3 linked regions of the Danio rerio genome follow. The protein of the gene in region 1 purifies or fractionates together with the protein of each later gene. This does not show direct contact. Links are inferred from orthologs where the notes say so. Each region holds a gene or a part of one and is shown in the gene's direction. Other genes may lie near its edges.

Region 1 (3,787 bases):
TGTGTCGTGTTGTTGTGGTGTGTTGTGTGTTGTGGTGTGTCGTGTTGTTGTGGTGTGTTGTGGTGTGTCGTGTTGTTGTGTCGTGTTGTGGTGTGTCGTGTTGTGTTGTGGTGTGTCGTGTTGTGGTGTGTCGTGTTGTGTGTTGTGTTGTGGTGTGTCGTGTTGTGGTGTGTTGTGTGTTGTGTTGTGGTGTGTTGTGTTGTGTTGTGGTGTGTCGTCTTGTGGTGTGTCGTGTTGTGTTGTGTCGTGTTGTGGTGTGTTGTGGTGTGTTGTGTTGTGTGTTGTGTCGTGTTGTGGTGTGTCGTGTTGTGTGTCGTGTTGTTGTGGTGTGTCGTGTTGTTGTGGTGTGTTGTGGTGTGTCGTGTTGTGTTGTGGTGTGTCGTGTTGTGGTGTGGTGTGTCGTGTTGTGGTGTGTCGTGTTGTTGTGGTGTGTTGTGTTGTGGTGTGGTGTGTCGTGTTGTGGTGTGTCATGTTGTGGTGTGTCATGTTGTGGTGTGTCGTGTTGTTGTGTTGTGTTGTGGTGTGTCGTGTTGTTGTGTTGTGTCATGTTGTGGTGTGTCGTGTTGTGTCGTGTTGTGGTGTGTCGTGTTGTTGTGTGTCGTGTTGTTGTGGTGTGTTGTGGTGTGTCGTGTTGTGTGTTGTGTTGTGTCGTGTTGTGGTGTGTTGTGGTGTGTTGTGTTGTGTGTTGTGTCGTGTTGTGGTGTGTCGTGTTGTGTGTCGTGTTGTTGTGGTGTGTCGTGTTGTTGTGGTGTGTTGTGGTGTGTCGTGTTGTGTTGTGGTGTGTCGTGTTGTGGTGTGGTGTGTCGTGTTGTTGTGGTGTGTTGTGTTGTGGTGTGGTGTGTCGTGTTGTTGTGGTGTGTTGTGTTGTGGTGTGGTGTGTCGTGTTGTGGTGTGTCATGTTGTGGTGTGTCGTGTTGTGTTGTGGTGTGTCGTGTTGTGTGTTGTGTTGTGGTGTGTCGTGTTGTTGTGTTGTGTCGTGGTGTGGTGTGGTGTGTCGTGTTGTGTGTTGTGTTGTGGTGTGTCGTGTTGTTGTGTTGTGTCGTGGTGTGGTGTGGTGTGTCGTGTTGTGTGTTGTGTTGTGGTGTGTCGTGTTGTTGTGTTGTGTCGTGGTGTGGTGTGGTGTGTCGTGTTGTGTGTTGTGTTGTGGTGTGTCGTGTTGTTGTGTTGTGTCGTGGTGTGTTGTGGTGTGTCGTGTTGTGTGTTGTGTTGTGGTGTGTCGTGTTGTGGTGTGTCGTGTTGTGAGGGTGAGCGACTCGTTCACTTGCCGACAGTAATACATGTTTCTGGCAGCGCAGCATGTCGTTTTCATATTTCTTTTGCATTGTTTGCTGATTTTATTCAACAAAACTAGCATAAGCCGAGTGTTTAGTGCGAGTTGGAGCTGCTTTGCCGTATGGTGAATGCAGTAGTGACTGTATTATCATCAATAACGTTACCTGTTTAGCACAAAAGTTCAGAACATGCAAAAACGTAAAAAACTTAATCTTACCTATGAAATGTTCTGCCTTTGTGCTTTGTTTTCTTTGTTTGCTCGTTACTACACCCGTAGACAGCGCTAAAGTCCCGCATCTTCACGTAATAACACTGTCTTGAATGACATTGTCCTGGGAGCACTGTACCAATGTGGCGGCACTATTGACGCATGCTCAGGCTCCCTATGCGATATCTAGTGTATATATCTATGGATGTCGCTGCCGCCCCTTTAAGCGTTGCCTGGGTGACGGTGTGTGTGTGTTTGTTCCGTCTTTCCTCTGCGCATGTGCACGCGAGAGTCTATCAGCGAGTCAAACATTTGGTGTCTGTCGTCCGCGATGGCGCATTACAGAGTGAGTAAACAACAAACAAACAAACACACACACAAACACAAACAAGCTAACCGCTGAAAGTCGAGCTTAGACACGCCGTTTAATGAGACCGGAAACGGAGAGCGCTGAGAGGCGTCCGCAGCTGAGCTCAGTCAGAGGAGCTGAAGACCCGCGCTGAAGGTTCCTTCATTCCTGTCTGCCTCAGGCGACGGTCCACACGCAGACCAGTGTTAAACCAGCGCTAAAGAAACGCGCTGCCCGTGTGTGTTTGTATGTGTGTTTGTGTGTTTATGTGTGTGTGTGTGTGTGTGTGTTTATATGCGTGTTTGTGTGTGGTGTCTGGAGCGAAGCGTCTTCTCTGAGCTGATGAGCTTCAGCTGGAGCTGTAATGATGAGTGTGGAGAGCTCCAGCGGTGTGTGTGTGTGTGTGTGTGTAGCTCACTCTGCTGTAGACAACACCGCCTGATGAACTGTTTCTGTAATGTGTGTTTCTCTTCTGTTTCAGGCATCCGAGTCGAAGCGTGAGCAGTTCAGGAGATATCTGGAGAAAGCTGGAGTCCTCGACAGCCTGACCAACGGTGAGTCCAGGCAGTTTCAGCCCGTGATGATGATGATGATGATGATGAATATCATTCCTCAGCGTGTGTTTAATCTGATGTCTGCGTTTCAGTCTTAGTGGCGCTGTACGAGGAAACGGAGAAGCCCAACAATGCCTTGGAGTATCCTCACACACACACACCCTCACCCCGCCATGTTTCCCGCTGTCTGCTGAGTTTGTGCTCATCTTTGTGAATAATATCAATGTTTTATTCAAATTCATGAGCGCTGCTGTAAGAGATAGAATAGCCCAAACTAGCCTCCTCCTATCTTAACTAACCCAACCTTAACGAGCCGCTTCAGCTTCATCAAGCATCATCTGGGGGTTTCGGGAGTGGAGGCGGAGGATGCGGAGAGTCTGCGGGAGGAGCTGAACACACTGCAGCAGAAACACCAGCAGCTGATGGAGGAGAACCAGGAGCTGAAGAGCAGGGTGAGCGCACACACACACACACACTCTTACACAGGTATGCTAGCTTTCTTACACACACATGCTCACTCACTCACAGACAGGTGTGCTTGTGTACTCTGTCTCTCTCTCTCACACACACATAGTGGCTCCCTCACACATTACTCTGCTAAACATGAGCTTAGCCAAATCTCGTGTGTGTGTGTGTGTGTGTATGTGTGTGTGTCTCCACAGCTGCTGCAGTATGAGCCGCCACAGGATGAAGCAGCAGCAGTCGAGTAGAGGAGCTCCAGCAGATCTGCAGAAAGTGTGTGTGTGTGTTGGTTTAGTGACAGGATGTTGAAGACCTGTTGATTGTTTCTGTTCAGCTTTGTGTCTGATGTTGAATAAATATTATTTTGCAATGATCCTGCTGTGTGTGTGTGTGTGTGTGTTGAGCACTTCACTGTTCCTCTTTACTGATTCTTCAAACTATACTCACATGGACTTCAGTTGAACGCCCCTGAACACATCCAGAACACACACACACACACACACTGCAGACTCCTGAGCTCTTACCATCACATCTAGAGGAGTGATGATGATCAACGGGTGAGATGGTGTGTGTGTGTGTGTGTTCATGCTAATGCCATGTCACTCTCGGTCTCTGGTCAGGTGCTCTAGTAAGCAGAGGGACAGCAGCACGTCTTCAGTGTGTGGTGTGTATTCTCCAGCCGGAGTAAGCGGTGTGTGTGTGTGTGTGTGTGTGTGTGTGTGTGTGTGGTGTAATGACTGCACTGCAGCTCCTGAGTAATGAACAGAGGCCTGCAGGATCTGCTCTGAGCACCGACACGTGTAGATGAGCTTTACCGTCTCCAGACGCCGTGTTCAGCCTCTGCTCATGTTAAACAGCTGTGATGCATCTTATTGTGCTGCAGGTGATCTGCTAAAGCTATGTGTTAGCAGAATATACAGGTGTCAAACTCAGCTCCAAAAG
Region 2 (3,933 bases), on another chromosome or scaffold:
AGCAGAGCCTACTGTTTGTTTACATTACTATTCACTCTCTGTGCAAATAAGCACCATTTAAAAACTCTGTCATCACTGCCTGGATTAGGCTACTGTTGCAGGGAAAATTCAGCCAGTAATGAAAACTGGAATTGTTTATTTGTCATAATGCAAACAAGATGTGTAGGGTTGCATATATGAATATAAAAAGGAGGAAAAACTTTTTTAGGATTTAGGACTTGGATATCTACAGTTATTAGCCCTCCTGAACTATTATGCCCCTCTATATTTCCCCCAATTTCTGTTTAACGGAAAGATTTTTTTTTTCAAAATATTTCTAAGCATAATAGTTTTAGTAACTCATTTTTAATAATGATTTTTTCTTAATCTTTGCCATGATGACAGTAAATAATATTTTACTAGATATATGTCAAGGTGCTAGTATGCAGTGCTTAAAGTGCTATTTAAAGGCTTACCTAGGTTAATTAGGGTAATTAGACACGTCATTATATAACATATTCTATAAACAGTTCAAAAATATTGCCTACGAAGGCTAATTAAATGGTTTTAAGAAATTTAAAACTGCTTTTATTCAAGCCAAAATAAATCAAATAAGACCTGCTTCACAAGAAAAAATATTATAGGAAATACTGTAAAAATGTCTTGCTCTGTTATACATCATTAGGAAATATTTAAAAAAGAAAAATAAGTGTAATGCTAATAATTCTGATTTTAACCATTTATTTTAATATTATTAATCAACCAAAATACGATTTTGGCAATTATCTATATTATTAAAAAATAATTACAATTTTAAAATATGTGGGACAAAATAATGTTGGGCTGGGATGATAATTTAATGTATTGTGTAATTCATGGATCGATCCTTAGATCTTTGGAAGGCATTGTGATTCTCTCTGGAATCACTTCTGAGTTTAGTTTTTAACAGCAGATGGCGCTCTTCTAGTTTTTAATCAAACACTCTTAAGGCTGATTTATACTTTTGTGTTGAACACACGTGTATGGTTTGGCACAGCCATTGCACAGTCACATACTCCTCGCCATGGATGACACCGATACTGATTCACACCTTTAAAAATGTTTTACTTTGTCGTGACAACACATAGTAAAAGCTCTACGATTGGTCAGCTTGGCACCGTTGACGAGTGTGGGCGGGGCCGAGAGCTACGCAAACCCATTGGAGCGAGTGTTTACAAATGTTGAGTCCTGTGACGGAGCTCCAGATGAAAACTTTTGCTTTGTGTTTACCTTATGATTAAAGTTGTTGCACATGTGCCACCTTCTTCCTCTGAATATGTGAGTTTTAGCTACTTGTGCAATAAGGTAAAACTAAACCAAACAAAAAAGAGCTGCAAAGAAACTCGACAGAGGAACATAAAAACCAGCTGCCAGCATGTGTTCCGGAAGTGTTTTTACTGAGCAACACAAACAGCAGGCGTAAGTATAAATGCACGACTGTGTATGCGCTATGGGTCACGGCGATCGCTCGACGCAGAAGTTTAAATCAGCCTTTAGCGAGTACAAAGAACACAAAGCATTTGTGCTTTCAGTCAGTACCCAAATGTACAGGCACCACGGGTTTTGTTAAACAGGATTAATGTAAACACAGCTTACTATGAACATTCTTGTTATTCACCTAAACATTTTCAATTAATCAATGAATTTATTAGTGATTGTTTTACGTTTGTGGTATGTCAAAGGATTGACAGAGTGTGGCTGTTTTTAAAGCTTACAGCCGCATCTGGTTGTAAAAACTAAGCTTAGAAAATTTCGTAAACGGTCATTTCTCAATTCACAGCGCATTAATTAATTCTCTCAACCGTAGTTTATATCATCAGATCACTCACTTTAGATTTCTCGTTTTTTTGCCTCATGTGAGTTGAATTTTTGGACTTTTCACTGAAGATACGATTGTGGCTAATTGCACAAATTGCTAGCTAGCAAATGCGTTACGCATTCTACATTTCTGCCTCTTGGTGTAAATGTGCCTCTCTTTGCGTGTGTGAATTAGCTGTGTTTAATTTCTACACGCGTGGATACTTCAACATGCATTTGGTGTGAACCAAGCATTTTTTATTTTAAAGTGCAATTATTTTTAAGAAGTTGCTCTTTTTCTTTTCTGCACATTTCATGCAGGAACCCCCATCCCAAAAAGCTCAAATCTTCATGGTCCTTTCATTAGTTTCAGGTAGCTTTTAATGAGAATCGGAGCAAAATGTAGTCATTATTCGCTTATTCTCTATATGCTTTATTCCAGTTGGAGCGAGACGCATATGTACAGGCTCTGGCCCGTTTCACACTCTTGACGGCCAGTTCTGGCATCACTGAAATGAAGCAGAAGAACATCGACACCATCAAGACCCTCATCACAGTGGCTCACACTGATGGAAATTATCTAGGAAACTCCTGGCATGAGGTGAGCTCTTTGATCTGTTTGGCTTATGGGTTTCCTGTGCAATGTGATTGGCCGATGGGTGTTGTGAGGTGCAGTCACTCTCTCTTTGATTCGCCTGTGTGTTTTTGTGTGATGTTATTGGCTGACTGGCTCTGAGAGAGTTTTTGTTTTGTCTGGTTGGCCTGTTTTCTGTGTGATGCTATTGGCTGATAGATTTTGTCAAGTGTTGTTATTCTCTTATTGATTGGCCTCTGTGTTTTGTGTGCAATTTAATTGGCTTATAGATTTCATAAAGGGTTACCATTCTCATTTTGATTGGCCTGTGTTTCCTGTGTGATGTAATTGGCTCATTGATTTCGTAAGGTGTTGTCATTTTCTCCTTGATTGGTCTGTGTGTTTTCTGTGCAATATGATTGGCTCATAGATTTCTTAAGGGTTTGAAATTCTCTGTTTGATTGACCATGTGTTTCCTGTGCAATGTGATTGGTTAACGAGTTTTGTAAGCTCTTTTTATACTGTTTTGATTGGCCTGTGTTATCTGTGGGATGTGATTGGCTAACGAGTTTTGTGAGCTCTTTTTAATCTATCTTAAATTACCCTGTGTGTCCTGTTTTATGTCAATGTCTGACAGGTTTTGGCAGCTGTTTATGTTCTGTTTTGATTAGCCTGTGTATTTGTCCTGTATGATGTGATTGGCTGATAGATTTTGTCATTCTCTTCTTGATTGGCCTTTGTGTATCCTGTTTTATGTGATTGGCTGACAGGTTTTGGCAGCTGTTTATATTCTGTTTTTGATCAGCCTGTAAGTTTGTCCTGTATGATATGATTAGCTGATAGATTTTGTCATTCTCTCCTTGATTGGCCTTTGTGTTTCCTGTGTAATGTGATTGGCTAACAGGTTTTGTCAGCTGTTTTTTTTCTGTCTTTGATTGGCCTGTGTGATTCCTGTTTGATATGAATGGCTGATAGATCTTGTCATTCTCTTCTTGATTGCCATTTGTGTTTCCTGTGTGATGTGATTGGCTAACTGGCTTTGTGAGCCGTTTATATTCTGTCTTTGATTAGCTTGTGTGTTTGTTCTGCTTAATGTGATTTGCTAATAGATTTTGTTTTTCTCTCTTTGGCTGGTATTTGATTGGCTGACAGGTTTTGTGAGATAATTTTATTCTGTTTTTGATTAGCCTGAGTGTTTGTCCTTTGTTATGTGATTGGCTGATGGGTTTAATGAGGTGTTGTCATTTTGTCTATGTGCTTCAGATCATGAAGTGCATTAGTCAGCTGGAGTTGGCCCAGCTCATCGGGACAGGAGTGAAGGCTCGGTACATATCAGGAACTGTTCGGGGAAAGGAAGGCTTTATCACCAGCACCAAGGAACAAACGTCTGATGAATACCTGGGATTGGGTCAGTTAATCACAAGAGCATTAATCGTCTCATTAACAAAAATATAAATTAATGAAAAGTTCACAGATTGGAATGCTGAGACAAAAAATACAGTATGCAAAATTAAAAATGTAAAAGTGTAAAATAATACTGATTT
Region 3 (3,933 bases), on another chromosome or scaffold:
CCTTTACTAGATGATCTTTATTTATTTTTTACCTTATGTCTGTTTTAGAGCATGTTATAGGTCTTTGATAAGGATCTAATTGTTTTCCTTGGAAATATCTTTCAGATTTGCACTGTAAAACATCTGTGTGTCAAAATAGTCATTAAAAAATACGCTTAATTGATCAAGAAAATTGTGATATGTTTATTTTACCAATATGGCACAGCCCTAGTTTAGATCATTAGAAAGCTAAATAATAGTCAGATTGTTGAATTACATTTTTAACATCTAAAATGAAGTGGAGAAGAGATCAAGACCCCATAATGCATTTTGAAACTGTTAATCTACTGAAATTACTAGGAACAAAATTACTACTGAACATTTTTCTATGAAAATGCAGTAAAACGTGGTCAGTTTAAATTAACTTGTTATCTTGAAATTAAACAAATTAACAATGTGCATCATTATAAAAATGAAGTCAACTTGACTATTCTCTTTTTAAAGTGTAATTTATAAGTACGTTCTGCTTTTATTTTGACAAGTTGTCCAGAAGATGCTTGAGTTTTTTGTTTTCACATCAGTTTATTTAGCCATACACACACCATTCATCCACAATTTCCAAATTTCATTCCTGAATTTTTTTAAAACTGTGCAAATAATATGGCCCAATAATTCTTGCAAAAACTAAACTTGTCATTTTTATCTGTGGAAGAAAGAACAGCTGTGAAGAATGCAACTGGTCATGGTTTCCTGTGATAAACTAGCTTTGTGTGAGAGATTTAAGCTGTTATTCACTGATCATTTTCTCCTCCAGTGAGCAGTTAAGCTCTATGACTGGATCAAGTTAAGCTCGAGATCAAGATCTGTCTGATTTGTGAATGAATCATTCAGACCTGTCTTGTGAGCCAGATCCACAGATTCCTTGAAAGGACAGCATAATAGGACAATTTATTCAAAGATTTACCATAAGGGTGGGTTGAGATAGTTGACTATTCAAAACTACTATTAACAACGGGTTATTAACTACGAGTAAGGTTTTTTTGTTTCGCTAGTGGTGAATCTTCACATATAAGGCTTTTTAAAATCCCTTTTAAATAATGTCATAGCCACTACAAATTCAGGAAACTCGCTGTCATATTTCAACTTGCCTGCTGTGAACAGATAAGATGTGTACTCCAAAATTTTTTTGATTGTTTAAACTTATTTAAATAGAGCTAAAACAACACAATTCTTTTCACAATTCACAATTTTTTTGGGACAACTTAATTGTTTTATGTTCAATCCACTTCAGTTTGTCAAATGAATTTTTTAAAAACGAAAAATTTTAATTTAACTTAATTCCTTCACGTTACACCAACACAAATCGCACACGATTGTGTGAAATGAAGCTTTTTCTTCAGTGTGATGATTCTTATGTTATTCACAGTCTACAGGTATGTTTGTTAGAGATGTATCATGCAGACTGCAGAGATTAATCTATTTTTCTGGAGTCTTGGGTGTCTGTCAGAATGCAGAAATGTAGCCTTTGAAAGTAATGGCTTTCACAAACATGCAGAAATAAAAAGATTTCTCATCTAACATGACTGCCGTGCAAGCCGGCTGGATGTAATCCTTTTAGAGTCATCTTACAGTTTATTTGAAACTTGTAAGTTCAGATTCAATGTGAGCAGAATAAAAGCTTTTTTTTTCCTCAACAAAGATCACGGATGTTTAGACTGCATGAGGCTGAGTATGTTACAACAGAATGAGCATTTCAGAGGCAATTACTGCTTTAATTTATGATTTTGAGCACTTGAGCTAAAACTTAGATTGAACTTAGCTTTGTGCATATTATTGTCTACTCATAATATAAAAATTATTTGCATTCAAATGGACTTCATTATTTCCTAAATGTTAAATAATAAAAGTTAAACACTGTGCTTGAACCTTTCTGTTTTCTGCTGGATGTGAAGTGTTTTTATATTAGAAAAAGTTTAAGTTTTTGCATTCCTGCTGCTGAGCTGTAATTTCTACCCCATTGTCCTGTTCATTTTAATATTTTACTGAACACAAAAGCTCAAGTACAAACCTAGTAGGGCTGCATAATATATCATTTCAGTATTGAAATCGCAATATGCACATGATATGCAATGTTGAATTGGGAAAATATTGGACTTGGAGTCGGAAAATGAAACCATAACGAAGTAAACGATAATGATTTGCCTGTGTTTTTAAGGCTTTTAAAATGTTTAAAGCATTCAGGCACAAGAGATTTACTATTGTAACTAATAAACAATAATTTATTGAATTCTTTATAGAGTAAAGACTATGCAGTTAAATTATTTAATTAATTTCTTTACATGAATACAATTGGACTACCCTGAAACCAAATGCATGGTTTATTTCCTATTTTTTCTCTTCTCTGATCTAACATTTAATAAATTATTCACACTAATATAAAATCATCCTTATTGATCAAAATCAATGAATCCTTTCCAAAGGATATTTATATCACATAAATTCTAAATACTGAAATGTCAAAAAAATGTTTTAAATATCCTGCAGCCTTAATTTCTAGGCTCAAGAACATGTAAATAAATGATCCTATATTGTAATAATTTTCAAAATTCTCCTGTCTATTTGCTTTAAAGAGAGGTCACAAAATTGATGTTAATTGATCTTTTTTTTGCCTGTTTGTTTTTAGATGAAATCAAGCATGAACTGGAAAAGCAGAAGTAAGTTTACATCTCTTTTAGTAACATGCAGCATCCATTGAGCAGTGTCCTGTGATGTACATTGATGTAATATTAAAATAACGCTTATTGTTTGTTTATGAAAAGGCTCTCTGAAGCTTAATGCATCATCTTTATTCTAAACCATTATGGTTATGTAATCATTTCAGATTTCCATACTGAACAAAAAGCCCACTGTAACACTGAAGGGCTGCTGACTGAAAGATTGGAATGTTTGTTATTTAGTGAAGTATATTTCAGTGCCGTTTGCTGATATTTTCTGTGCATCTTGTGTGTATCAGGGACGGCACTGTTGTTCCTCCCAGAGCCAACTACATTGAGGCTGACAAATATGTCCTGCCTTTTGAGCTGGCATGTCAATCCAAGTCTCCACGTATCGTCAGCACATCTCTCGATTGCCTACAGGTATGCAGAGTCTCTCATCCACTTCTTCTGTACTCAAGGCATTGTAGGTGAATGGGGTTAAAACCAAAACAACTAATAGTTGTCGTCATCATTCTTTCTCAGCAGATTTATTGATATTTATATCACAAGTTTTTTAAAAATTGGTTTAAATATGCAATAGGTTTATATAATTTTATGGAATAATTTGATTTAATGTGAAGTTTTAGGTGAAGTTGGGTGCAAAAATTTAAGATTTTAATATTGATTTTTTAGACTTTATATGATTAAAAGATTTTTACAGTGGGCTCTTTTTTGTTATTACATAATTCAGAAAATACTACAAACTGTCAGAAAAAAAGCTTTTTATGATTTTTTTTAGTAAGATATTGTAGGGGTTTGTAGTTAATCAAAAATTATGTTTCGATTTTGATTTTGGCTTCTATTGATTATGAAAAACATTAATCGAGATAAAACAATTATTGCATTATATACCGCCCCTTTCCAGTTGTACACATTTGTTGCTCTGCAAAGCTCAGTTCCACGTGAGTACTACTAAAAACATGTACAGTAATGTAACATTTGTAATCATTCATTGATGTACATTCGAATCATTCATGTTTTTCAAAGTGCAAAAGAGATCTCATTTAGTGTGTATGTGCTCAGCCTCAGAGACGAGCAGAGCACACATCTAAAGTCATCTTAATTTGATCGCTTTAATGGTCAAATACATGTACATTTTTGTCAAAACGCTGTGATTAGTGATTAGTCATATTAACCCTCAATTATGTAACAAACAAACAAGTTGAGGATCAAAAGACATGTGAAAGTGAAACCATAA

What was found.
Region 2: the proteins of mycbp (region 1) and arfgef1 purify together in Homo sapiens (co-immunoprecipitation; 4 studies listed by BioGRID and IntAct, with this or other methods). This does not show direct contact. The link is inferred for Danio rerio from reciprocal best matches to the Homo sapiens genes MYCBP and ARFGEF1.
Region 3: the proteins of mycbp (region 1) and arfgef2 purify together in Homo sapiens (co-immunoprecipitation; 4 studies listed by BioGRID and IntAct, with this or other methods). This does not show direct contact. The link is inferred for Danio rerio from reciprocal best matches to the Homo sapiens genes MYCBP and ARFGEF2.

The regions. Positions count from the first base shown.
Region 1 is NC_133194.1:32,486-36,272, forward strand, and holds mycbp (C-Myc-binding protein), read left to right. Parts: upstream 1-1,801; 5' UTR 1,802-1,811; coding exon 1,812-1,826; intron 1,827-2,310; coding exon 2,311-2,383; intron 2,384-2,475; coding exon 2,476-2,524; intron 2,525-2,705; coding exon 2,706-2,835; intron 2,836-3,045; coding exon 3,046-3,093; 3' UTR 3,094-3,218; downstream 3,219-3,787. UniProt on the Homo sapiens protein: May control the transcriptional activity of MYC. Stimulates the activation of E box-dependent transcription by MYC.
Region 2 is NC_133199.1:22,646,237-22,650,169, reverse strand, and holds part of arfgef1 (brefeldin A-inhibited guanine nucleotide-exchange protein 1), read left to right. Parts: intron 1-2,257; coding exon 2,258-2,416; intron 2,417-3,652; coding exon 3,653-3,797; intron 3,798-3,933. UniProt on the Homo sapiens protein: Promotes guanine-nucleotide exchange on ARF1 and ARF3. Promotes the activation of ARF1/ARF3 through replacement of GDP with GTP. Involved in vesicular trafficking.
Region 3 is NC_133198.1:21,945,046-21,948,978, reverse strand, and holds part of arfgef2 (brefeldin A-inhibited guanine nucleotide-exchange protein 2), read left to right. Parts: intron 1-2,662; coding exon 2,663-2,693; intron 2,694-2,992; coding exon 2,993-3,116; intron 3,117-3,933. UniProt on the Homo sapiens protein: Promotes guanine-nucleotide exchange on ARF1 and ARF3 and to a lower extent on ARF5 and ARF6. Promotes the activation of ARF1/ARF5/ARF6 through replacement of GDP with GTP. Involved in the regulation of Golgi vesicular transport.